7 linked regions of the Mus musculus genome follow. The protein of the gene in region 2 purifies or fractionates together with the protein of the main gene of each other region. This does not show direct contact. Links are inferred from orthologs where the notes say so. Each region holds a gene or a part of one and is shown on either strand. Other genes may lie near its edges.

What was found.
Region 1: the proteins of Nrp1 (region 2) and Ubr2 purify together in Homo sapiens (affinity purification with mass spectrometry; 3 studies listed by BioGRID and IntAct, counting the BioPlex papers as one, with this or other methods). This does not show direct contact. The link is inferred for Mus musculus from reciprocal best matches to the Homo sapiens genes NRP1 and UBR2.
Region 3: the proteins of Nrp1 (region 2) and Csnk2a2 purify together in Homo sapiens (affinity purification with mass spectrometry; 5 studies listed by BioGRID and IntAct, counting the BioPlex papers as one, with this or other methods). This does not show direct contact. The link is inferred for Mus musculus from reciprocal best matches to the Homo sapiens genes NRP1 and CSNK2A2.
Region 4: the proteins of Nrp1 (region 2) and Bcs1l purify together in Homo sapiens (affinity purification with mass spectrometry; 3 studies listed by BioGRID and IntAct, counting the BioPlex papers as one, with this or other methods). This does not show direct contact. The link is inferred for Mus musculus from reciprocal best matches to the Homo sapiens genes NRP1 and BCS1L.
Region 5: the proteins of Nrp1 (region 2) and Plxna1 purify together in Homo sapiens (affinity purification with western blotting; 4 studies listed by BioGRID). This does not show direct contact. The link is inferred for Mus musculus from reciprocal best matches to the Homo sapiens genes NRP1 and PLXNA1.
Region 6: the proteins of Nrp1 (region 2) and Fam241a purify together in Homo sapiens (affinity purification with mass spectrometry; 3 studies listed by BioGRID and IntAct, with this or other methods). This does not show direct contact. The link is inferred for Mus musculus from reciprocal best matches to the Homo sapiens genes NRP1 and FAM241A.
Region 7: the proteins of Nrp1 (region 2) and Kdr purify together in Homo sapiens (affinity purification with western blotting; 7 studies listed by BioGRID and IntAct, with this or other methods). This does not show direct contact. The link is inferred for Mus musculus from reciprocal best matches to the Homo sapiens genes NRP1 and KDR.

The regions. Positions count from the first base shown.
Region 1 is NC_000083.6:46,955,033-46,958,532, reverse strand, and holds part of Ubr2 (E3 ubiquitin-protein ligase UBR2), read left to right. Parts: intron 1-1,118; coding exon 1,119-1,228; intron 1,229-1,338; coding exon 1,339-1,419; intron 1,420-1,796; coding exon 1,797-1,975; intron 1,976-2,551; coding exon 2,552-2,751; intron 2,752-3,500. UniProt on the Homo sapiens protein: E3 ubiquitin-protein ligase which is a component of the N-end rule pathway.
Region 2 is NC_000074.6:128,362,073-128,365,572, forward strand, and holds part of Nrp1 (neuropilin-1 isoform 1 precursor), read left to right. Parts: intron 1-1,146; coding exon 1,147-1,321; intron 1,322-3,500. UniProt on the Homo sapiens protein: Cell-surface receptor involved in the development of the cardiovascular system, in angiogenesis, in the formation of certain neuronal circuits and in organogenesis outside the nervous system. Mediates the chemorepulsant activity of semaphorins.
Region 3 is NC_000074.6:95,457,821-95,461,320, reverse strand, and holds part of Csnk2a2 (casein kinase II subunit alpha'), read left to right. Parts: intron 1-532; coding exon 533-643; intron 644-1,147; coding exon 1,148-1,249; intron 1,250-3,500.
Region 4 is NC_000067.6:74,586,812-74,591,088, forward strand, and holds the start of Bcs1l (mitochondrial chaperone BCS1), read left to right. Parts: upstream 1-1,477; 5' UTR 1,478-1,582; exon of another isoform or gene 1,583-1,676; intron 1,677-2,674; 5' UTR 2,675-2,747; coding exon 2,748-3,067; intron 3,068-3,148; coding exon 3,149-3,288; intron 3,289-3,453; coding exon 3,454-3,648; intron 3,649-3,859; coding exon 3,860-3,923; intron 3,924-4,148; coding exon 4,149-4,277. UniProt on the Homo sapiens protein: Chaperone necessary for the incorporation of Rieske iron-sulfur protein UQCRFS1 into the mitochondrial respiratory chain complex III.
Region 5 is NC_000072.6:89,317,614-89,321,113, forward strand, and holds part of Plxna1 (plexin-A1 precursor), read right to left. Parts: intron 3,457-3,500; coding exon 3,244-3,456; intron 3,150-3,243; coding exon 2,999-3,149; intron 1,859-2,998; coding exon 1,763-1,858; 3' UTR 1-1,762. UniProt on the Homo sapiens protein: Coreceptor for SEMA3A, SEMA3C, SEMA3F and SEMA6D. Necessary for signaling by class 3 semaphorins and subsequent remodeling of the cytoskeleton. Plays a role in axon guidance, invasive growth and cell migration.
Region 6 is NC_000069.6:127,893,524-127,897,568, reverse strand, and holds the start of Fam241a (uncharacterized protein FAM241A), read left to right. Parts: upstream 1-1,245; 5' UTR 1,246-1,385; coding exon 1,386-1,535; intron 1,536-4,045.
Region 7 is NC_000071.6:75,933,456-75,936,955, reverse strand, and holds part of Kdr (vascular endothelial growth factor receptor 2 isoform 1 precursor), read left to right. Parts: intron 1-17; coding exon 18-117; intron 118-575; coding exon 576-661; intron 662-2,337; coding exon 2,338-2,533; 3' UTR 2,534-3,500. UniProt on the Homo sapiens protein: Tyrosine-protein kinase that acts as a cell-surface receptor for VEGFA, VEGFC and VEGFD. Plays an essential role in the regulation of angiogenesis, vascular development, vascular permeability, and embryonic hematopoiesis.

The sequences.
Region 1 (3,500 bases), on a different chromosome or scaffold from region 2:
TGTTGCTCCTTAGTGCTGGTGCTAAGGCCTAGTATACCATCATGCCTGATTCGATATTTTAACTTTTTTTGTTTTTGAGACAAGCTAAGTAGTCCTGGCTGTCCTGAAGCTCAATATGTAGACCTGACTGGCCTTGAACTCACAGAAATCCTCCTGCCTCTGCCTCCCGAGTGCTGGGATAAAAGGGTATATGCCACCATACCTGGCAGTGCTTCGATTCTTGTAGAAGAAAAAGCTGTGTTTCATATTTTAAAACAGACAGGCATTCTGTCCCTCCTGAAGGTGGCAGCTGTGAGTCTCCTGCTGTGACTGTTGTGCAGTGCTCATACTTCCTTGGATCAGATTGTGTCACTTTCTGCCCAGTGGTAACACACACATTCAGTTTCTGTGACACTCTCTGGTCCCAAACCTTTGGCCTCCACTTGTGCTTTCCCTGCCTGGCTCACCATGTAGGTGAATTCATGGTGTTTTGATGGGGAGGTAGGAATTTCTGGGCTGAAAGGATTTTTTTGTAACTTTGTTCTTTTAAGTGCTGACAAAATGTCCCATTGTCCTTTAAGAGGAGTAGGACTGGGCAGTGGGCCTGTTTGTCCAGACAGCTGTGGTTTCCTGCTTTGCTCCCTGGTTTAGTAAGAGCAGCAGGGAAGGGGAGCTGCCTCTGCCCACTGCATGCGGGCTTTGCTCTTCACTGGCACCAGCCTGTCTGTATTCTGTCTCTGCCGGCATTTCTCCATGGTTCGCGTCGTGCCTTCCATCTTACATTTCAATGGTGCTTTTATTTTCCAGTAGCCATACACCACTCTGAATCCATTCATTGTCTCACCGATATAAGGTGTCACTTTCCAGGAGGTGGAGCCCAAGGGCTGGCTGGCCAGCTAGTCTAGCAATCTCTGAACACATGGCCTAGTGAGAGATCCTGTCCCAAAAAGTACAGTGGAGAACAAGTGAGGGAGACTGCTGGCCCCCACCTCCCACATGCACACGCACACACATACACAAACAGTGTAAGTGGAGTCAGACGATAGGCAGCAAGTGCCGTACGCAGTTACATGTCTCTCTGGTAGGACGAAGCGCCAAGATGTGTTAGCTGTTAACTGTGCCTTCTCTTTCTCTCCCAGAGCCTGGTGATGCACCACATAACTCCCCGAGCATCCTAGCTATGCTGGAGACCTTGCAGAACGCCCCCTCCCTGGAAGCCCACAAGGACATGATCAGGTGGTTGCTAAAGGTAACATTTCCACATTGCTGTGTGTCTTGAGAGAAGCATTAGATATTGGCTATTTATAATAACATTTCTTAACATCAGCATAACAGTGTTTGGGGTTTGTTTATTTCAAGATGTTTAATGCAATTAAGAAGATAAGAGAGTGTTCATCCAGCAGCCCTGTGGCCGAGGCGGAGGGAACCATAATGGAGGAGGTAAGAGAGCGAGGTAGAGGCGGGCTTGCCAGCCTGTGCCATTCCCCGGCTCCTCAGACGCCAAGGGTGGATCTCTGGGAGTTTGAAGCTAGCCTGCTCTACATAACTTTTTCCAGGCCAATCAGGACTGTTACATACTGAAGCTATGTCTCAAAAAAAAAAAAAAAAAATGCAACTAAACTAATAATGGAAACAAAACTTTAACAGGTTAATATGAACAAATTTTCTCTGCAGTAAAGCAGTAGTTAATATTCACAAACATTAAATTCCAAAAGATAGATAGCTCTTAGTGCCTATAGTACAGATGCTATGCTTAGGGGCAAAGACTGGGTGTAGCCTCTGTGTGCAGAATCTAGCTAAATGGAGCATCATTCCAGAGCTCAAGAGACAAGGACAAAGCAGAGAGGAAAAGAAAAGCCGAGATCGCCAGACTGCGCCGGGAGAAGATCATGGCCCAGATGTCTGAGATGCAGCGGCACTTCATTGACGAAAACAAAGAGCTCTTCCAGCAGACCCTAGAGCTGGACACCTCTGCCTCTGCCACTCTTGACAGCAGGTAACTCGAACAACGGCTTTTAAGACTTCTGACCGTTGGTTCTCTGTATGCTTTTAATTGAGTAAAGGTGGTGGGTAATTTTGTGGCCTCCAGTTAGTGGAGTTCACTCCTAGGCCAGGGAAATAGCGCCGGACAGGCAGTGAACTCTGCATGCTGGCACATGCTTGTAATCTCAGTGCTGGGGAGGCAGGCGGCTGGGGCAGTGGCCAGGCAGCCTGGCCTCACACGCCAGCTACAGGCCAGCGGGAGGTCCTGTGACCCTGGGCTGAGCCATGGCCCCACACACATGTGCACACATACACAAAGAGATCTCTGCCTCTGAGTAATTCATGTGTTCGCTTAAAGTGTTATTTTCTACAACGTACCTTTGACATGAAAGAATGAGCACGCTGGGCTGGCGTGTGTTACAGGCAGGTTGCTGTGAGTGGAGGTGGCTTTAAGCACATAAGAGAACCCTGCCACATCCTGTCATCAAGACCACGTGTTGTGTGTACCTATCTGGAGTCTGTCATTTAACGATTATAGAGAAACTTCTTAGGCTCATTCAGTATTACAGTCATAACCTTTGTATTGCAGCCCTCCCGTTTCAGACGCAGCTCTTACAGCACTGGGCCCAGCACAGACACAGGTCCCTGAACCGAGACAGTTTGTCACCTGTATATTATGTCAAGAGGAGCAAGAGGTGACTGTGGGAAGCAGGGCGATGGTCTTGGCAGCGTTTGTTCAGAGGTCAACGGTTCTGTCAAAAGACAGGACGAAAACCATCGCGGACCCAGGTAAGGTCTGCTGCATTATCGGATCAGAACCCAGCTGCCCTGACAGCGTACAAGCAGCCTCCATGCCAGGCCTCATGACCCAAACCTGTGATCCCTGCCCAGAGGCCAGAGGATTGCTGAGAGTTCAAAGCCAGCCAGGGCTAGAGTGTGAGGCTGTGTCTTGGCATAGCCCTTAGCATTTCTGCTTTGAGATCAGGGCATGAGGCATGATGGGGAGTTAGATTCTGTCAGCAGCCAAAGCTTCATTCCGATAGATCATGGTCCTTTATACTCCAGAGTAGATGCTCAAGTCCCTGTACAAGTTGCTGTAGTGCTGGAGAGAGAGCTCCCGGGCAGAACACTCGATCACTGCGAGGGAGGGTCTGGGTTTCGTTGTAATACTGAGATAGGGGAGAACCCCGCTCCATGCATAGGATTTGCATGTGACCTTGGTTCATCTTCCTAGGTACTTGATTTCTAGGTCACAGTTCAATGCTGTTTAATGAGAGAATGACAAGGACGTAAGCCAGGCAGCCGTGTCAGCATCTGTGGAGGGTTCCCCTGGACGTTTTGGTCTACCTTCTGTGACCCCACAGATGCAGAGCTCCTGGATACGGAGGGCCTGTTACTTAGAGCACCTTCAGTCTCACATTGCAGTTCAGGGCTACTTGAGTTTCACTTTTTAAGGTCTGAGAGTCTTACATAAATTAGTGCCATCGAAAGTTGGAATAAATTAACATTTCTTTACCTAAGTCTTCACAAATCCAGGG
Region 2 (3,500 bases):
CTTTCCACAGGGAATCTATTAGATGTAATATTAAAATCTATATATACCATTACTGGATGTTTGTGATTGATAGGCTTATACATTTCAATATTTCATACCTGTACTTCCTACATAGTTTATGCACCAAATTTTTATTGCCTAAAATTAAGCATCAATAAATGGGGTGGCATTTGCAGGCTGTGGCTCTCCTGTGCGAAACCCATAATAGAGAGTGACAGTAGCGATCTATGCTGAATTGTAAACCAGCCCAGAGTCTGGTTTATTTAGCTATTAGAGAGTCACTCCAGCATTTGAGGTTTTGTAGTGGTGGTGGTTTGTTTTTCAGTAAAGGTTGAAAACTGGAGAGCTTTTCTTTCCTGGGATGTGAAGACATAGCTCACCATCTGTGATACCCAGACCTCAGTGGCCGAGGCTTCCCCTAACATTTAGTAATTAGAATTAATGCTGTGTGGCTATTTATTTTTCTTTCTGCCCCATTGCTTTGATCTGGTCTCCAAGGCTGAACAACTTGGATAAGTAAAGCCGAGTTCTTTCTGCATCACCAGCTGCACTTTGTTCTCTGCTGATTTGAGTCTCAAAAGCAGAGATAACTCAAAATCACTTAGATTTACAGGCAGATAAAACAACAACAAAAGGAGGTTAGGCTTCAGGCCAATCAAAGTCCTGGAAGACAGTCCCCACTGGTCAATGACACTGACCAGGCTTATCATCAAAAAGCCACTTGCAAGGAGTGGCACAGCATCTTTTAGGCACCTTCCACTTAGAGCGGTTCCTTAATGTGATTACACTTCTTGGAAGATAATTAAGTCTAGCAGGAGCTCCCAGGGGGCTGTGTTAACATCAATTGAGGGGGTTTAATGTTTTTAATGCTAGAAGACCTCTTTCTTTGGAAGGAAGTTTGGGTGTGAGGGAAAAGCATCTCAGATCACAGTAGGCTTTCTGTGGATGTGGTGCTCCTGCAGATTAAAGAGTGTTCCTTAGTGGTGTGGTGTACTTTGTGTCTAGGGTCACACGGAGGGTTTATGGGGGACACTTTGGAGTTCTCTTAACTGACAGAATGTTTGCTAATTGTCAATACACATGTAAAGCTAGAAGACTCAACTGGTTGCAGGGAAGAGATCTGCTAACATGTCATTTTTGTTGCAGACAAATGTGGCGGGACCATAAAAATCGAAAACCCAGGGTACCTCACATCTCCCGGTTACCCTCATTCTTACCATCCAAGTGAGAAGTGTGAATGGCTAATCCAAGCTCCGGAACCCTACCAGAGAATCATGATCAACTTCAACCCACATTTCGATTTGGAGGACAGAGACTGCAAGTAAGTGAGGGAGTTTGAACAGGGCGCCATAGCACCATCTAGTGGTCATGAGTATCCGTGCTGAGAAAGTAAATGAGCGGGTCCGGATGAGCTCAATTGTGAGTGGTGTGGAAATGAAGTTACAAGTGGCTGAGTTCACCCAATATGTCAGGCTGTGTTTAAATGTTTGTCCTCCTTCTGTTGACACGTTTGGTTTGGGAAATCTTTTGTTAAGAAATGTGTGGTGTGTGGTTCTTTCTGGAAAGGGTTTTGAGAAAAGGCTTGTGTTTTCTTAAGTATTGTGGGTCACCAGTATACATGATCTGCAGATGGTGGAGTCGGGTGTTTTTTAAACAAATCTGTGGCGCATTTAATGATTTTTAGAAGATTTCTCATGGCTGGGGACTATAGCTCTGTGGCAGGAGCTACTCCAGCACTCTGATCTGAAAGATTGTATCGAGTTTGACATGAAAAAAGCAAGTGAATTAAAGGGTTTGTTATTATCGCTATTTTGTTTGGTTGGTTGATTGTTTGATAATTTGTTTGCAACAGGGTCTCACTATGTAGCCCCAGATGTCCTGGAACTCATTTTGTTGTTCTGGGTGGCTTTGATCTTAGAGATCCACCTGTCTCTGCCTCCCAAGTGCAGACATTTGCTAGTGTGCTGAGCTTAAGCAAGAGTTTCAAATATTAGGTTAATTGTGGACATGTTTATGAATATGACTTTTTAAAATGCATAAATGCAATGAGAATTTAGGTGTGTATCGGGTTAGAGTCAATCTGCCTTACCTGTCTGTCTCTTTCAACTTGAAGTTACTAAATATTGGTCTATGAAAAGTTTCATTATCCCAGTAACATTTTACTGTAGAGACCATCTAAATGATGCCCATACACTTTAAATGGAAATCCTGGTTGTAGATGTGGTATTTCTGCTTTTGCATTGTATGAGGTGGACTTCATAGCTCAATGCTCTCCACATCCAGGACAACCTCTTAGTGTCTTGCCCACATGATCCCATATGATTTCACTCTGAAGTACTTTAAGGGAGTTAGGTCTCCAGTTTGAGCTTGAATAGTAATCTTGATGAAGACATGGGCCAATTCTTACTTTGAACTTAGCCGTGTTGGAGACATTTTGAATGGTGAAAGCTGCTCTGTTTCATACTTTTATTCTTTTGTAGAGAACAGAGTGATATGAAAACATTCCCACATGCACAAAGGATTCAGAAATCTGTTGATTTTGTAGTGTGGTGACAACCAGATTTCCATAGTCAGGCTATCAAGATTTCTACTTTATTCAGCTTTATTCATTGTCTAGTGAATTAACAGAAACCTATAGACAGAGGATGCATCTGTGAATGATTGACATACAGGCCTGCATTCTGATTCCAGTTTATTCAAGTCCCAGCATTGGGTTGACTTTTATTTTGTCTCCCCTCCCCCCCTTTGGAAGCAGAGGACTGAACCCAGGGCTCTACCTTGGGCTAAATCCCCAACCGCTAGATTGTAGAATTAATAGTGTTCCAGTGCCTTCTAGAAAACAGGGCATTGTTTCAAATATGTTGTTGTTTGGAAGTTCTGGGGGTCAAATCTAGGGCTTCATGCATGCTAGGTAAGGGCTCCATCACTGAGCCACACCAGACTTATTAATATTCTTTGTAGTGATTATTATAGTGCTAATAGTGTAAATAACTTTGAAACTGTGTTGTTGTATATCTTTTTACATCTTGACAATCTGCTATAGGAGATATTTTCAAGAAACTCTGGCAACACATGCTTCCCTTCAAAATAAAGTATTCTTAGATTTCAATAAGCTCACATTTACCGATTTCTGACCAGGAAAGTATGACCAGGTAACTGTGTGACAGAATGAAGTCCTCTGAGTAGTCCTAGTCATCAGAGGTGGTGTGGTAACAAACATTCATCAGCCATGCTGAGGAGGAAGCAGATCAGGTCCTGGATTGGGATTTTGCTCATTTTCATGTCTCAATCGTTCCACCTGTGGACATTTTCCAACTTCTTGTGTGACATCACCTCATATACACTTGCAAAAAAAAAAAAAAAAAGGAGGAGGGGAATGTGTATACAGCAATGGTTCTGAGAGCTGGCGCATGCTGAGCCCAGGACATCATGCAGTAGAAGCTTGGGAGCAATGCTAACTGATAAACTCTATGTGTAGATAGTGCTTTTATGTCTCCTCC
Region 3 (3,500 bases), about 33 Mb from region 2:
TTATTTTAGTTCTAGAGTTGACAGGGCTTTAGGAAGAAACTACAACAGTGGTTTCTACGTCACTTCTTCATGATCATTCCAGTCCAACTAGCCCTAAGAGATACACTTGGGGCCCTCCAACTCTGGCTGTCACAGCCAGTGTTAGCTTAATAACCAGTTAGAGCAGTGTGCAGTGCTTCTGCCTGGAGGGAGCCATACATGTCCTTCAGTGTTGCCTGGAGCTCATGTTAACAGCCGTGAGTGATGGGGGAGTGTGTTCCATATGTAAGTAGCATGGAGGCAGAAACAAGGTTGAGTTCTGATGATCTGGAGAGAGTAAAAGACCAGGGTAACTTAAAGGGAAAAACTCGGAAACATTCCAAGTGCTCCAGAAATGACCTCATCTGCAGTTCTTGAAGTGTAGTCTTCCATGGGTACACTCCTACTCTATGTGATCAAGTACCTGTTATAGATACGTGCTGTGGCCTCACCACAGGCATGGGCATGTCCAAGGGCATCTTTCATGGTCTGTTTCCTCTTGTCTTTCTTATAGCTCCGACTGATTGATTGGGGTCTGGCAGAGTTCTATCATCCTGCTCAGGAGTACAATGTTCGAGTGGCCTCGAGGTACTTCAAGGGACCAGAGCTCCTTGTGGACTATCAGGTGAGCGTGTCAGTGAAGCTGCTCTGCTCTGCATTAATTTTATATTTTCTTAGGGATTTTCCTGGTTTGCTATGTAGTCGATGGATTCATACAAAACCCAGTTATTATTCTACTCTATAAAGCTTTTTCTCAACTACATTAAATTTTTTTTCATTATGTATGTATAAGCTTACTTGTACCACAGCCCACGTGTGAGGGTTAGAGGGGTTTGTTCTCTCCACCATGTTGGTTCTTGGCATAAGGATTAGGTTGTTGGGGTTGGCAGCCTTGGATACTTAGTCTACCAGCTGAGCCTCTTGCTGCCCTTTTTTTTTTTTTAAGGAAAGAATGACTTTTAGTTATAACTTCAGAAAGGCTAAGAATGGAACTTGCCTGATAAGTATAAGACCCTAGTGCCTTAGAAATACGGGCCAATCTTCAGGAGTCAGATGAGTACTAGAAACTCCATCAGTACAAAGAGTTTCTAGCCATCTTTGACTGATCGACCGTCCTTACTGCCTTCAGATGTATGATTATAGCTTGGACATGTGGAGCTTGGGCTGCATGTTAGCGAGCATGATATTCCGAAAGGAGCCATTCTTCCACGGGCAGGACAACTATGACCAGGTGAGCAGATTATGTTATAAATGCTAGAGATATAACATTTGAGCCATGAATGTCACTCACTATATATGGGCTACCATGTAAGCTGATGAGTTGTTCAGAATTGTGTCTGTGGTACAAAATCCCAAAGCATGCAGACATTTGCTGTCTATGCTGAACCTTCAAGATGGGTCTAAGAAATAAGGTATCTCTTTGTTGCAGTAAATCTCCAGCCCCAATATGTCCGAGCAAAAACCACACAACTCAGTTACAGCATTCACAAGCTGCACAGCTAGATTGGGCACATTTACCGCTACACTACTCTGTCGCCCATCTATGAGATCCCTTGTTACTTGCGGCTTCTCCAGGCCACGTGGTACTATTCCATCTTCCACCTCCTCTTCCTCTGTCTTTCTTTCCTCTTTCTTCTCTTCCTCCTCTCTAAAACCTCCAGCCCCACCTTTCCCTTCCACTGCCCAATCACAGGCTCTAGCCTTTATCTGACCAGTTAGAATGAGGAGAAGGTTCACATGAGATCACCTGAGCACATGATCCACTCCTTATTCGGGCAGCCCCTCTTGAGGAAGCAGAGTTAACATCAGAATACAAATAGCACCAGGGCAAGCCACAATGTTTCCCCCTTTTTGTACAATTAAAGGGCTCTCCCTTTTTTTTTTCCCCCTCGTATAAATTGAGTACAACTATTATGCAATTTAGAAAGTATAAGATATATTTAAAACCCAGTCTGTCATATTGTCAATTTAGATAAAACACTCTACCATCTATCCTAACTTTAAAAGCTTACAATTTTATATCTGAATTATATTCTGGTTTTAGCTTGTATTACCATCTGAAAATCATCCTCTCAAATCTGTATCATCTCTCTTAATGTTAAACAGTTTGAGTGCTATGAAACTATAACTAGTCTTCAACTCCATCAGAAATCCAAAAATGACTTAAATATTACCTGAAAATATAGGAAGCACAAGAGATAGCTTCCAAAATTTAAACATTTTGTAGAGACAGCTGACTACCTGGACAGTCCCTAATTCCTCAAAATGTTAGAGCTTCAGTCTCCAACATTTATACCTTAACTATTCTTAGTCATTTCTACTTGAGTAAATTAAAAACACTTTATTATAATTAAATCCGAATATATAATGAGCCTTCTGGCCCAGGATCATCTGACAGACTTTTGTAAAGCAGAATTGTGAAGGACTGCTTACCCTGTCTTGCTTGGCAGAGCTACCGGTCAACTATTTCACATAGTATGACCTTTTCCTGGACAGTATTTTTGTAGATGAATTGAGGCAATTTTTGCCTAGTGGTAATCTCTCCACGACTGGAGCAATTCTATTGATATTTAATTTTTTTCTTTGAACCAAGAAAGGGGTGTAGTCAGGAGCAGACTAGATTCTAGTCAAATGATCTTTAATAATGAAATGGCCTTAAATGTTGTATTCTGTGGACTTCTGTCCACAGAAGACTATCTGTCGGGGGCTGGAGAGATGGCTCAGTGGTTAAGAGCACTGACTGCACTTCCGAAGGTCCTGAGTTCTAATCCCAGCAACCACATGGTAGCTCACAACCATCCATAACAAAAGCTGACTCCTTCTTGAGTGTCTTTAAGACAGCTACAGTGTGCTTACATATAATAAATAAATCTTTTTTTAAAAAAGAAGACTGTCTATCTATTTAAAGTATATCTGAACTGTTATACCTTAACTATTCTTAGTCATTTCTATTTGAGTAAATTAAAAACACTTTATTATAATTAAATCAGAATATAATATAATCTAGCCCTTGACTTGTATTACTTAATCATCCTAAACACTGTTTTTACTCTTTTAAAGTTAAAAAAAGATTTATTTACTTATTTTAATACCTAAATACACTGTAGTTGTCTTCAGACACACCAGAAGAGGCCGTCAGATCTCGTTACGGATGGTTGTAAGGCACCATGTGGTTGCTGGGATTTGAGCTCAGGACCTTTGGAGGAGCAGTCAGTGTTCTTACCCGCTGAGCTGTCTCTCCAACCCCTAAACACTTTTTAACGGGAGTTATTAGAAGGACTGGGTCCAAGCCTTGTATTCTTAGAAGAGTTGTACAGGCACAATGCCTATCAAAGAGTAACAATAATAATTTTAAATCTTGTATCAATATAAGAAATTTAAATCTGTATTATTCTATAAATTGTATATCAATGTAAAATTTTAACTTCAAGTTGCATTAATTATAAAAATTTCTGCCAACGTAGGATATGGCTGTATAATTT
Region 4 (4,277 bases), on a different chromosome or scaffold from region 2:
GTGGGAACACAACTGAGAAACAAAGGTATTAAACTGCATGTCCTGTTCAACTCGACTGAAATAAATGAGATAATCTTTTTAAACTTCCAGGACTCAGGAGGCAAAGGCAGGCAGGTATCTGTGAATTTGAGGCCAGCCTGGTCTACATAGTGAGTTCCAGGACAGAGCTAAACAGTGAGGCCCTGTTTCAAACAAAACTGGGTCACTGAGTATGTGCCAGGTGAGAGTGGCTAGTTCTCATTCTACAGAATCCCTCCACGTAAAAACAGCACGAGGGCTGTAGGGATGGCGCAGTGATGAAGAGCACTGACTGCTCTTCCAGAGGTCCTGGGTTCAATTCCCAGCAACCACATGGTGGCTCGCAACTATCTGTTAATAGGATCCGATGCCCTTTCTCCTGTGTCTGAAGAAAGCAACCGTGTACTCACATACATAAAATAAACAAATATGTCTTTAAAAAGCATAACAGCAGGAACAGACAGCAATTCAAGAAGGAGGCAGGGAAGTGCACTTCCGTGGTCAGCGAGGCTTTTTGGAAATCACAGCCCCCACGGACTACTAATTATTGCTGCTCTAGGCGGTCTTCCAGCCCATCACATGGCCTCAGGAAGATGCGGGGGAGGAGGTAGGAGAGAGCCAGAAAGAAGTAACGTGCTTTTGAGACTGGAGAAGCAAGGGATACCGAAGCCTGGGGAACAAGGCAACCCTGCGTAGGCACCTCAGTTCCCACGCGCCTCTGGGCTTTGACTCACCGTGTAGCCTTGAGTCGATGCACTTGCCTCGCTTCTCAGGACCTCAGCTTTCCTGTCTGTAAAGTGGAGGCGGCGGCGACGACAGCTTTTACACTGTGGGGCGACAGCCAAGTCACGAGATACAGCGGAGGAGAAAGGCGTTTTGGAACCTGCAAGGCTTGGGATGATGCATCGTCACGGTTCTGGTCCTGAGGAGAGGCAGCGGATACCCGGGCGGGGCCCGGAGCTGTGACGCGACTGAGACGCCCGAGTCCAGCAGAGATGCGCCCGCGCCCCTCTCACCGGCGCGCTCCCCGCAGCACCTCCTCCCGCGGGCTCCACCTCCAGGGCCCACTCAAGCTGGAGCTAGAGAAACTTTTACCTTCAGCTCACAGCGCCCGCACTTCCCCTGGTTCCCGCCGACAGCCGCTCTCTCACCTCCTACCCGTGGGCTGGCGGGAGCTGCATCTCTATGGTCCGACTGGGACTGGAGTGGCTCCTCGGGGGCCTTTGATGTGGCCGCCCCCGGCCCAGGCGCCTCTAGGAATCTGACGTGTGGCAGCCACTCTGTCTCTCTTCAAGGCCCGTGCTACTCTATGGTTTCCCCTCTATGTCCTTGAGTACCCCCCTTCTGAAGCCCCAAAGCGGAACCATCGAGAATTGCAGGGAAGAGTGGCAAGGACTCCGTGGTGGGTGTGGCCGGAAGTAGATGCAGCAGTCCGGGGCGGGACTAGCGGCGCTGCCTCTTCGTAGGCCCGGCGAAACCATCGAGTGTGAGGGCCAGAGAGTCATGGAGGGAAGGGGGCGGAGTGACAGATTTCTCTCTCCCACGTTCCTGGAAGCGCGAGCAGGTCTGTGTATAGGGTGTCCGGGAGTCAGCTGCTGTGTGTCAGGGTTCGGGAGCCGGGGGCCAGGAGATCTTCGTCAGCGGCTCTCCATGCAAAGGTGCTTTGGAATTCTGGATCACAGCTCCGAGCCTTAGCGGAGGTCACGGCTGTCAATTCACCAGTGGGCCGGTGTGCCAGGCAGAGGAGTGGCAGTGGAGAAGTGTTGCAAGGAGAGGTGTTCTGGAAATAATTGCCATTTTGTCCCCTTAGGCATTGTCTTAAGTTAGGCTTAGTCACATCTTAATTGGGTTGAATTTGAAAAAGGCTCCAAAAAAAAAAAAAAAGAAAAAGAAAAAGGCTCCGTGGAAGAAGTAGACTATATGATCTCAATGAAAAAGAATGCCTAGAATAAAGGGGTGGGGGTCATTCGGTACCAACAGAACTGAGAGAGCTAGAAGTAGGTAGTGATTTGCTAGTAAAGGTACGCATTCTAATGTAGGCATCCCTGCGTATCCGGCTGTGGTATTTGAACCCAATGGGAGCAAGGCACCAAGGGTGCTGGAATACAAGTGACAGAATTGTAGCGTGTCTGGGATTGGTGGGTTTGGATGATGCAGGTGCTGAAGGTCCATTCAAATATCACCTCAAGAACCAAAATAACTTGCAAGAAATAGTTTAGGTGAGAAGTAATAAATGTCTGTACAGGACATTAGGAACGGGGTGTAAGGGAGAGGATATTTGAAAGACATTTCTGATGGTAAGGCATGTGGTCATTGACAGAGCAATGGAAAAATCACCTTTGCCGATTCCATTCAGTGGGGACCCTTCTGTCTAGCTCTTGCCAGGGACCAGAGTCTTGCCTTTCTAGTATCCTGATGTGGAGCTGGGTACATTGCTTTTTGGAATTGAGAAACTCTCCAAAATGGCCTTCTGGCAAAAGGTCTAACTGAAGAGCAAAATGGATTGAAGAGCCTGGGGTGTTTGCTGTGGCATTCCAACACCATTCCTACTCCACTGAAACACAGTCCTGCTGACCTGTCCATCTTGCTTCTGTGGGAGGGAGCGGAGCAAGATTGACTGGTCTAGTTTCTATACTAGTCTTATGCTTTCTTCCAGTTCTGCTACAATCCATCCCTCGGTTTTGACAGTGCCTCAGAGCCTATAAGCATCTGTGCTGCTTCTTTTCAAGATGCCATTTTCAGACTTTGTTCTGGCCCTTAAAGACAATCCCTACTTTGGGGCTGGATTTGGGCTGGTAGGTGTGGGTACGGCTCTGGCTATGGCCCGGAAAGGAGCCCAGTTGGGTCTAGTGGCATTCCGGCGCCATTACATGATCACACTGGAAGTCCCTGCCAGAGACAGAAGCTATGCCTGGTTGCTTAGCTGGCTTACCCGACACAGCACCCGCACTCAGCACCTCAGTGTTGAAACCTCATACCTTCAGCATGAAAGTGGCCGGATCTCCACCAAGTTTGAATTTATCCCCAGCCCTGGAAACCACTTCATTTGGTAAGATAGGAAACTAGGTAGGGCTCTGAGGAGAGGGTGGATCGATGGAGGAAATTGGGTCACTTTGACAATTTTATTCAGGTATCAGGGAAAATGGATCCGGGTAGAACGAAACCGAGACATGCAGATGGTAGACTTGCAAACAGGGACTCCTTGGGAATCTGTCACCTTCACGGCCCTGGGCACTGACCGAAAGGTTTTCTTCAACATCCTGGAAGAAGGTATGAGATGGGACAGGCAGGCTATCAAAGTGGGGAGGTTGGGCATCTGCTGCTTGGAGAGGAGGAATAAGGATCCGAGTCCTTGGGAGAAGGGTACCAGGTCAGAGCTCTACCTGACTGAAGCATCAGCATGATCAAGGGACTGTTTTACTTCCTTGCTCCCAGCTCGAGCACTGGCCCTGCAGCAGGAGGAAGGGAAGACTGTGATGTACACAGCTGTGGGGTCTGAATGGCGTACCTTTGGTTATCCGCGCCGACGTCGGCCACTGGATTCTGTAGTCCTACAGCAGGGTCTGGCTGACCGAATTGTCAAAGATATCCGGGAATTTATTGATAACCCCAAGTGGTACATTGACAGAGGTAAGCAGCAGCTGGAATCTAGCCGAGTTTGTAGCCAGGTGAAGTTACAGGAAATTCTAGCTCAGGTGAAAGGGAAAGAAAGCTCGTCTATGAGAATATCTTTTCTGCCTCTAGGACCACTAGCAGGGAATGGAGCTGAGGGTAGATGTGGACACCTGGGCCAGAGTACATGATTCACTGTAGGTCTTGTTTATCCTGGTTATATCCCTAGGCATTCCCTACAGACGTGGCTACCTTCTTTATGGGCCCCCTGGTTGTGGAAAGAGCAGTTTTATGTGAGTAGTCAAATTTTCTTGACTTTGAGTAACAGCCTTTGCAGAAAAACTGGGCTGAAATTATTAGAAGAGGAATGAATCTGGGAAGCAAGGATCAGGATAAACATGAGATCCATAGATATATATCAAGTGAGTGGTATAGGAAACAGGCCTTTGCAGCCTACCTCCTAGGACTCCCGAAGTCTTCAGGTTGCCTAGGACCTCCTTCCATGTCACTGTCCACAGAACAGCCCTGGCTGGAGAACTGGAACACAGCATCTGCCTGCTCAGCCTCACAGACTCTAGCCTCTCAGATGACCGGCTCAACCATCTACTGAGTGTAGCACCACAGCAGAGCTTGGTGCTCCTGGAAGA
Region 5 (3,500 bases), on a different chromosome or scaffold from region 2:
ACCCTAGTATCAGCCCAGGGAATGAGCCAAAGAGTTGGGGTGGGAGTCTGACCAGAATTCATGGCCCAGGGTGTCTAGGCTCATGACTACCACAGAGGAGTTGCTCCCTGAGTCCTTGTACCTGCCCCATAGCTAATAAAGGTGCAGCTCTAATCTGACCTCCACCCTGTCCCATCGGCTCCCTAGCTTGGAGTGTGAGGGACCACAAGACTAGCAGCCCATGGATGTGGGGTGTGCTGTCCCCAGCACTGATAATGGTCCTGGCCACAGTTAGCTGTCCCTTAAAATCCATTATAATCTTTAGTACCATCAAAAAGGTGAACTTGAAAAGGGAGTAGGCCGCTTGCTTGCTTTTCCAATGACTAATTAAAAAAAAAACATTTAAAAAAAGGGTCTAACCACCTCTAGTATTCAACACTTGCAGTTTGAAAAGATCAACTCAGACTAAACGCTAGCACAGTCATGCAGGTCCACAGCTCTGCACCCAAAGCTCGGGGCACGGAATCGTGGGCAGCGGCTTCTTCCATCTGGGGGAAGTAGAGGCCACATCAGATGGCAGCTCCAGGGCCCTTGGTTTTGCTCTCTTCCACCTGGGTTCCTCCTGAATTGCCTTTCCGTGTCTCTTCCCTCAAATAATTGTACAGCACCCCATTGGGGCCAGGGCCACACACACATATATATATATACACATACATACATATATATATGTACAGGGTCCATTAAAAACGTACTGTTGCTCCTTGAGGGCAGAGGTGGACACAGTTGACCTCCAGTCCCTTGGGTCACTGCCCATGGTCAGCAGGGTGGCAGAAATGCCCCCCACATCCCCAGGGCAAAATACCACAGGATTTCTTGTTCCCTTAAAAGCAGTACCCAGATGTCCCACTGCAGAGGGGCCAGGACACCGTTGAGAGGCCAGACTGGAAGCCACCGGGAACATCAGGGGAGGGGAGGATAAAGGATGGTGGGACGGTGGCCTGTTATCCTCCAGAGCTCCGTGGTGGGCTGCGATAGGAGCAGGAGGCGGGGAATAAATAACGGGAACATGCACTCTGACTGGAGCCCCAGGACCAGGAGCTCCCAGAGGCACAGCCCTGAGGACAGAGAAGGGTTCGCCTAGCCATTGTCCACATGTCACTTGGAAGTGGGGTCTGCAGGCCCTCCATAGGAGGGGAGTGGGGCCTCTCTCCCCAGCAGAAGGATGTGGCACTCCAGCCTTGGCCGCGCAGAGCACGCGGTGAATCTGAGGGTGGTGGCAAGCACAGGGTGCTAGAGTAGAGGCTGGTGGGACAGCCCCAGGCTGTGACTTATGTGGCCTAGCCTTGGGTATCTCACCTCTCCCTCAGACTCTGCCTGCTGGTAGCAGCTGAAGAAGCCAAGAAATGTGAATTGGTCCAGCCCCTTGTCCTGCTGCCCTCCTTCTGGAGGGCCTGGCCTTCTATCTCGGCCCCTCAGAGGCCACCTCTCTCTCAGGAAAACCACTAGCAGCTCTTGCCAAGCAGCAAATATCCCTGGGCAGAACCAGCCACGCTGTGCTATCCTTGCCCCACGGCAGCAAGCCCCAGGCACAGAGGCGGCTCAGCAGGAACCCTTACATCCACAGCGATAAGAATTGGCCCTGCATGGCAGGGAGAGGAAGGCGAGGGCCAGGACCCAACCACAGCCCCCACACCTGGACTTGGTACAGGTGGGCCAAGGGCTGTCTCCTGGGTCCTCTGCTGCCCTCCTGCTCTGCCTCCTGCTGGGTGGGCACTTCCAGGGCTCAGCTGCTCAGGGCCATTGTGTCCACCACCTGCTCCAGTTTGCTTCGAAGCCGCTGCCTTCGAGCCTGTTCATCTTTCTCCAGAGCCACCAGAATCTGCAAGGGTGGGGTGAGGGGTGGGATAGGGTCAGAGTCAGGGTTAGCTACCCACAGATATGGGCTGGAAGCTCTAAGGGAAGCAGCTGGACCAAGACACATGACCTTGGTGTGTCTGACTCCCAGTTCCTAGCTGTGCCAACAGTTCTGATCCAGAGTACTACAGCACTTGAGGGTGAGCCCCCAAGCTCATTACCTCCACCCTCATCTCCCTCATCAACAGGCTGTGGCTCCTGGCTATGGCCTCTCCCACCTTGCCCTTCTCAGGCTTCTGGGAGTCTTCTACGGCAGTGTTCCACACCCTGCTTCTGATGTGGCATGGCCACTGTTCTCTACTGTGGCTGGGTTTCTTATGCTCTTCGGTTGTCTTCTCGAGTATCACACTCCTACCTCAGTCTATGTGGGAGCTCAGGCCCAGCCTCCCATCCTATCCCTTAATCACTACAACCTGTGAGCCCTTCCATGGCTGGTTTGAACCCGGAGCCCTTCTGAGCCCAAGGCTTCACGATCTTAGACCTGTCTCTGTGGCTTCCCACCTCCAGACAAGCTGCCTGGCTATCTACCTCACTGGCTCAGCACAGCCAAGCAGACCATGGTCTCCCTGCCTGTCTAGATCTATAAGAATCCATCAGGCTCTGGGACACAGCCAAGCTCCAAGCCTCCACACCTAGGTCACCCTGGTCTGTATATCTTCTGCCTCTTCCCAGGTGGGCCCTAGCTCAGCCATGTAGACTCTATGGATCTTGGCCTGCCAGGCCCTCTCATTGCCTTGGCCAGCACTGCCCACACATACCCAGTCCTTGGCTATTGGTACCCATAAGCTCCAGCCCAGAGTCAGAGACAAGTTATCCCAGAGAGAAGAGGTAGGGGAGCTGCTTCTTGGCAAAGGACAAGGAGCAACCTTTGCCAAGCCCAGAGATACCATCCAGCCCAATAAACTACTATAGGACCACAGCTATCCATTCCAGGAAACCACTGTCACCCTGTCTCCCCACCCTGCCCCAGAGAGCCTTCTTTGTGCCCAGAATCTCTGATTTTCTTACTAGCCCTAGGAAAATCTGGGCTGTCAGATACAGAAGCAAAGCAAGTATTGGGTGAGCTCTGAGACATAGGTGGAACTGGGGTCGGGGAAGGACGCACCTCGTCCTTGTACTTGGCGATGTAGGAGTAGATCTCGTGCAGGGCACTCATGCTGTTGAACTGGCTGAGATGCAGCCGGGACTGCTCTGCCAGGTAGGCGCTCATGTCTTGGTCACTGATTGCAGGCATCTTGGCAATGTCAGCATAGTACCTGACAGTAGGTAGCAGGGTCAGCATGGGTGGGGTCACAGGGCCTACTCACCCACCAACCTGTGGCCCCTGCATGGCCCCTGCTGGACACCTACCTTTCAACCCAGCTCTTGTAGTTGGGGATGTCCTTGGCATAGAGCAACTTGTTGGAGGGTGAGTCTTTGCCCAGCTTGTGCTCTGATGTAGAGCAGGAGTCCATGAAGGTCTGCGCTACCACTGAGAGGCAGGCATCTGTTATGCTGTTCTTGTGGATGTCGAACACGAACTGAGGGTTCTTAATCACATTCACCCAGAAGCGCAGAGGCAGGCTGTGGACAAGCAGGCCCAAGAGTGCTCAGGATGGCCATTCTGC
Region 6 (4,045 bases), on a different chromosome or scaffold from region 2:
TCTCTCTCTTACCAGTCGCTGAGAATTTTTAAACCATTTCTAGAAATGCACACTACGGCAGAGAGACCAGGAAATGAGCCCAGGGCTCCCACAAGCCACACACACTAGGAAGCAGAGAGAAATAGGCATGGTCACTCAGAGATGCTTAGGGAGAGGAGGCAAAAGGGGAGGAACAAGCGACAGAGAGCCTGCATTCCTTCCTAGGCACAAGCAGCCAACAGCACACCCAGGCACAGCTGAGCGCCCGCTGCAGCTGGTATGGAGGGATACTGTGTGTTTGGGTGGTCTTTCACACTCCCAGAACCTCTTACATGTGCCCACACCTTCATGCACACAGCTCCCTCTCATATGAGCTTCTTATTCTCAGTTGCCCTCTTCTGTATACCTACATCCTCACACAAACTTTCAACACCTATGATCTCCCACACTGTCCTGTCACAAAAGACTCTGGTATACAGTCTTCCACAATCTGTTGTGTACAGGCACACAATTAGACACAGGCTTTTATAATACTCTATCAGACAGGGTCTCATGCATCTAATGGTCTTTTTCATATAATCTCCTGTAAGCACTTGGTTACAGTCTGTTACAATGTTTCTTACACACACTTTCTCACAACACATAACTTCCTCCTCCTCCTCCTCCTTCTCTCTCTCTCTCTCTCTCTCTCTCACACACACACACACACACACACACTAAACACAACATCTAAGTGTGTGTATGTGTGTGTGTGTATAGTTACTCACACACAATCACACATGGGCTCTCACATGCATTAAAAACCTGTCAGATACAATCTCCCTCATGCACCTATGGCCGATTTCATACATAATCTCCCTCATGTAGTCTGTTACAGTGTTCCTCACCTCTGACACTCTCTCTCTTCCTCTCTCTCTGTCTTTTACACATACACACACACACACACACACACACACACACACACCACAGGATATCTGTCTGTTGTGTACAGATAGTTACAGATACACAATTTCACAGATGTCATATACTTTAATAGGTGTCAGACACATACAACCTCCCTCAGGAGCCTATGGCCTCATTCATAGTTTCATGCACTAACTGGAATAATGCTACACCTCCCTTGGTTCCGCCCCTCCCTGGCCCCGCCCCTCCCAGTACCCTGCCCAACCCACCAGGTCCCGCCTTCATTGGGCCGCGGTCCGCTATGGCCCCGCCCCTCCTCCCGCCCCCGCCCCCGGGGTTCCGCCCCCGAGCTGGGGGTGGGGCGAGCGGCTGACAGGAGGGGCGGGCGGCTCCTGCACTTCTGGCCCCCAGGCCGGCGGGCGCGCTTCTAAGGATTCCCGTGTGCGTCGGGAGTCCCGGTGTGGCCAGCGGCAGCCGTGCGGGCGGCCGGAGTCGGCGGTGGGATGTGCTCGGCCAGGAAGCTGCTGCGGGGCGGCGCCGGCAGCGCCGGCGGGGAGTGCGACGAGGACGGGGCGGCGCCGGCCGGGCGGGTTGAGGAGCCGGAGCACGGGGCGAGCCCGCGGCGCCGGCGGCCGCAGGACGAGGGCGAGCAGGTGAGCGCGGGCGCGCGGGCCGCGGGGTGGCGGCTGGGCACGCGGCGAGCGGTTGACGGGCGGGGCCGGGCTCGGTGGAAATGCCCTCCGGAGCCTCACCTCAAAACCACCCGGCAACTTGCGCTACGTGGGCGCGCCGTGCGCTCGAATTCCGAGCACTGCACGCGCCCTGGACGGGGTGGGCGGACGGCCCGCACAGAGGATCGGGAAGCACGGGTCGGTGCCTAGGTGACACCGGGACTCTCCCAGAGCAAGTTTCACAGCACCACCGAGCAGAGCTGAACTTCATTTTAGAAGTGGAAAGGAAAAAAAAAAAAAGAAAATTGCCTGCTGTGAGCACCAAAGGGAAGGAAGCTTTAGTAACAGACATAATAAGGAAACTGGGTACTTTTAAAGTTCTCAGAATTGGATATCATTGAGAAGACTAAGGGAAATTATAACATCAGATATCTGTAAGACTAGACTAGCAGTTGAATGTAAAGATGGAGTTCTACGTGGGACGATTTTTTTTTTTTTTTTTTTACAGGCAGTACAGTAATTAGCTACTCAAAAATCCCCCAGATACAAAGACCTTTAGAAATCACATAAGTAAGCCTAGACTTCTGGAATCATCAGTTAATAATACCTGTAACTTGTCCTCTAATATCACTAAGTACATTAATAACTAAATACATTAATAAAACCCATTACTTAAGAAACAAAAATAATGCTAATGTGGGCTTGATCACCGTGTAGACAGTAATTATTCATCTATGTGACAATATAGGAGCCAGTGACTGAAGCAAATAAATTGGTAGCTAGGAGATCTTGCTGGTGCCCTTGCGGGCGGTGTTCTTACCAAACTGTACCATGCATGTCTCAATAGAGAAGGTCTTGATTTCCTCTTACTCTTGCTCAACTGGAAAACACAGCCAGCAACTAAAACTCCCTTTCCAAAAGTAAATGTGCAAATGGTTGTAATGGCATATGTGAAATCCTTCCCTTAACCATCTCTGGACCTTAGCAATACAATGACATGGACAGCGCCAGGAACTCTAGTCTTACTGATATTGTTACTAGAACAAGGAAAGGGGATGAAACAAAAAATTAAATATACATTCTAGAGAATAGATACCCTATCACATGCCTGCTTCCTCTATTGTACTATGAAATTTCATTTTCCTGCCTGCTTCTGCATGTTGCTTGTGTCGTTGTAATTTTGCTACATACTTTACCTGTATACTCTTAAGTCCTCACACTCATGGAAAAAAACACACCTGAGATCCTACTATATCAGCACCTGGGAACTTCTTATCAGGAGCTCAGAACTGGTACAGCCCAACTCGATAATGCAGAAAGCAAACTTTTGTGATCAATCGTTTGGCAACAGTATCACAAAGCCTATCATCTAGGGTTTTGTTTTGGTTTTTTTTTTTTTTTTTTTTTTTACAACCTGCAAATGAAATTTAAAAATCCATGCAATGTCACATAGATAGAGCTGTTTTTGTACACATACTATCTGAAGGAGAATTAGAGTTAACAACATAAAACATTCCAAAAAGTCATTTTAATTTTTCATCATGGAGATATTCTCCTGTTCTTCTTTTTGGATTGGTTTTAAGGATACCAGAACTCCAAATTATAAATTGAATAATTCTGGAAAATTCCTTTCTAAACTATTTAAAATTTACACAGAATTTTTCCATAGAAAATCAATGACAGAAACCAAAATGGAAGCAAAACTAGTTAGGTTGAAAGGAGGCAGTGGCCGTTTTCCTGCCGTCTTTCTGCTTAGTGTATTCAGTTGCTTTTCCAGAGCCTCAGCCTCCTAGACATTGAGAGGGAACTGAAGGCCACAGCCCTCTGCAATGCCTTCTTCTCTTGGGCGGGGCCAATGTGGTGGGTTCCAGAATCTGCTTTTTGTCAGTTCCTAATCTTACATGTTCTATCCTGTTCGCTTTCTGTTTCCTTTTCTGATAAGAAGCAGGCTGGGTTAGTTCCCAGCCTACAGTCTCCTCATACATCTCTCCCATCTCTGCCTTTCTTCTGTCTGGAAGGCCCATTCCCTCAACCTGGAAGACTTGTATAAACATGTATCCAAAACTTCTTTTCCCTCTGCCTTGTTGTTGCTAAAACGCCCGATCAGAACGCACCTTCACTTTACGTCCTGAGATTCTGAAACACGGCTGTGGATACAGGTGGTTTATTTGTAACTAACATATTGTCAGCATCATACTTTACAGTTTGTCCTTAGCCGAGACTCCATTTGAGGAAAAGCTAAGCTAGCATTTCAGCCTGAATCCTTTCCCAGGCGGGATGAGTGACAAAAGAGGTCTTGTTAAAATCAAGGATTCCTTAAAAAGGAAGCCTTGAGAAAAAGAAGCTGTGTCCCACGAGAAGTACAAGGCCAGCCTCTAAGAGAGATAAGAATTCTAGAGAAGGAGTAATGTGTGTAGCTATCCAGGGAACCGGGGAGTCTAGACTTAGAGAGCTGTGTCCACATGAATTTGTAATTCTGTTCAGGAGAGATG
Region 7 (3,500 bases), on a different chromosome or scaffold from region 2:
TATTTGTTCTCTTGCAGTCATTATCTCCAGAACAGTAAGCGAAAGAGCCGGCCAGTGAGTGTAAAAACATTTGAAGATATCCCATTGGAGGAACCAGAAGTAAAAGTGATCCCAGATGTAAGTACATCTTTTAAAAATAGTCATAAAGATAATACTTGGGGTGAAATACTAGCTAGATAAATATTAGCCTAAGCTCTTGAGTTTTGGAACCTTATTAAGGCTGTCCTTGAGCATATGTGCCCTGGGGGAGGTCGATCTTTAGTTTTGCCGTATGAAAGGCACCTGGACCAAGGTTTGGGATAGTCTTAACTGTGTGTCCAACTTCACTCAAGTGCAAATGTTGTCGCCGTGCAGAGAGGAGACCCCAACATCCTGACCTTTCCTCTCTCCTTAGCCCAAGTCTACTTCCTCGAAGCATTTGCTTCCTTTGTGGCTTGCACAGTCGCTGGCTGCCATACCCTTTCCCTCTTTGGCATGACATTGAGTCCTATTGTCAGCTAGATGGATTGAGAAAGGAGTTTAAAGTAGCTGGTCACGTGCACACTCACTGTGTCATTTCACTGTCTCCTAAAAAGGACAGCCAGACAGACAGTGGGATGGTCCTTGCATCAGAAGAGCTGAAAACTCTGGAAGACAGGAACAAATTATCTCCATCTTTTGGGTAAGACTCAGCCTACTAAGGAAGAATATTTCAATACGTATTTTTGGAAGGGCATAATAAAGACATTCAGTGTAGATGTGGTTTCTTTTCTGGTGCCTTTGGAGGTTGATGACATTAATATTCCAAATTAGCAATTTGATAAAGAGGTAAAATAAACTAAGCCATGAAATTGGTGAGTCTGAAGAAAACCCTGAAGCAAGTTAGAGTATTTGGCCAATTTCTAATGACTACATTTGTGAAGGCTATGGGACTGATACGGGCCAGCAGAGTGACCTGTGGCTTCTATGGCCCTGGCCAAACTGCAAAGATGTCAGCAGGTACCATGATCCTGAAGAGTGAAGACTTTGCAGACTCTGATGGACTGTCAAACCTGTACTTAGATGGCTTTATCTGTAATTAAGAAAGATGATATATAAATACATACATATTCACTTATTTCATATATTTAAATATGATTCTTTGAGTCACTGCCTTTTCAGTTGGGGGAAAACTATTAAATTTATTCGAGTCATTCTTCCTTATGACTCAACAGGTATATATAGGCTTTGAATAAATGTACCTGATTTAAATATTAAAAAAATCTTTATGTTTCTAAGAAGAGTGGGATAAGAGTAGTTATTTGTTTGCTGGCAGGCTCATTCTAGGTAGGGAAAACCCAAGATTTGATCTACACACCAGAGAGCTGCTGTACGAGGTGGGGTTCCCTATGGACTTTTGAGTGATGTCTATACAACAACAGTAGCCACAGTAAACTTGGCCGTTTTCTTTAAGGCCCAGCAAGAAGGCATGGGCACCAACCACATGCTTCTTTCATTGACTCAAACAATAGTGACTCAGAGCTATTAGGTGGCCAGGATCATGCCTCTGTTTGAGACACAAACTGGTTTGGTGTGGGAAGTGAAGAGCGGGGCTGGGAGGGGAAACATACTTGTGGTTCTTTGAACTTACATGAAACCGTATTTGAACACAGAGTAAACAAACTCTCTCTGTGGCTTTTATCATGAATAATAAGAATAAGACCCCTTCGAGGGCAAAGCCCGAGCTTTTCGGTCCACACAGCCCACGTTTGTTAGCTTTGACATGACTACTATGTCATTGGAAACATTCTCCAGTTGCTGCTGAGTGACTGAACCCCCAATTTGTCCAAAGAATTTGGTTTGGATGAGTAAAAAACAGTTTTTGACATGTCTGGCCTGACTGTACACTAGCTTTTTTTTTTTTTCTCCCCCTCTACAAATTTATTAACATCTTTTATAGACCACTTAGCTCCCTAGGTGACCGAACAGGAAAAACACAAATGAACTTTTAGACCATCCCGATATCGTTTAATATCATGAAAGAGACCCTGTGACTTCTATCACTGTAGACAAACTTGTCAATCGTCAAGGCTGTAAAACTCTTCCATTGGTTGGGGGCTCTGCATACCTCAGCAGAACGGCCTTTTATCTCGTCTCAAGCTTGAAAGACTTGGACCCGAATAAGAGGACTTATCTGCGACTACTAGCTCATGCCAGTACCTGAGAGTAGACCTTGTCTGAGGCTGATTAGGGAATGAGAGAGAGGGGCTAGTGTCTCTGGAGGGGATTCTACTTCCTTGAGCTCGGGCTTTGGTGACTGTGTAAAGCAAATGAGCCGGCTTCCCTTTTTAATTCATTCGCTTGCTGTTTCTTCTACAGTGGAATGATGCCCAGTAAAAGCAGGGAGTCTGTGGCCTCGGAAGGCTCCAACCAGACCAGTGGCTACCAGTCTGGGTATCACTCAGATGACACAGACACCACCGTGTACTCCAGCGACGAGGCAGGACTTTTAAAGATGGTGGATGCTGCAGTTCACGCTGACTCAGGGACCACACTGCGCTCACCTCCTGTTTAAATGGAAGTGGTCCTGTCCCGGCTCCGCCCCCAACTCCTGGAAATCACGAGAGAGGTGCTGCTTAGATTTTCAAGTGTTGTTCTTTCCACCACCCGGAAGTAGCCACATTTGATTTTCATTTTTGGAGGAGGGACCTCAGACTGCAAGGAGCTTGTCCTCAGGGCATTTCCAGAGAAGATGCCCATGACCCAAGAATGTGTTGACTCTACTCTCTTTTCCATTCATTTAAAAGTCCTATATAATGTGCCCTGCTGTGGTCTCACTACCAGTTAAAGCAAAAGACTTTCAAACAGTGGCTCTGTCCTCCAAGAAGTGGCAACGGCACCTCTGTGAAACTGGATCGAATGGGCAATGCTTTGTGTGTTGAGGATGGGTGAGATGTCCCAGGGCCGAGTCTGTCTACCTTGGAGGCTTTGTGGAGGATGCGGGCTATGAGCCAAGTGTTAAGTGTGGGATGTGGACTGGGAGGAAGGAAGGCGCAAGCTCGCTCGGAGAGCGGTTGGAGCCTGCAGATGCATTGTGCTGGCTCTGGTGGAGGTGGGCTTGTGGCCTGTCAGGAAACGCAAAGGCGGCCGGCAGGGTTTGGTTTTGGAAGGTTTGCGTGCTCTTCACAGTCGGGTTACAGGCGAGTTCCCTGTGGCGTTTCCTACTCCTAATGAGAGTTCCTTCCGGACTCTTACGTGTCTCCTGGCCTGGCCCCAGGAAGGAAATGATGCAGCTTGCTCCTTCCTCATCTCTCAGGCTGTGCCTTAATTCAGAACACCAAAAGAGAGGAACGTCGGCAGAGGCTCCTGACGGGGCCGAAGAATTGTGAGAACAGAACAGAAACTCAGGGTTTCTGCTGGGTGGAGACCCACGTGGCTGCCCTGGTGGCAGTGTCTGAGGGTTCTCTGTCAAGTGGCGGTAAAGGCTCAGGCTGGTGTTCTTCCTCTATCTCCACTCCTGTCAGGCCCCCAAGTCCTCAGTA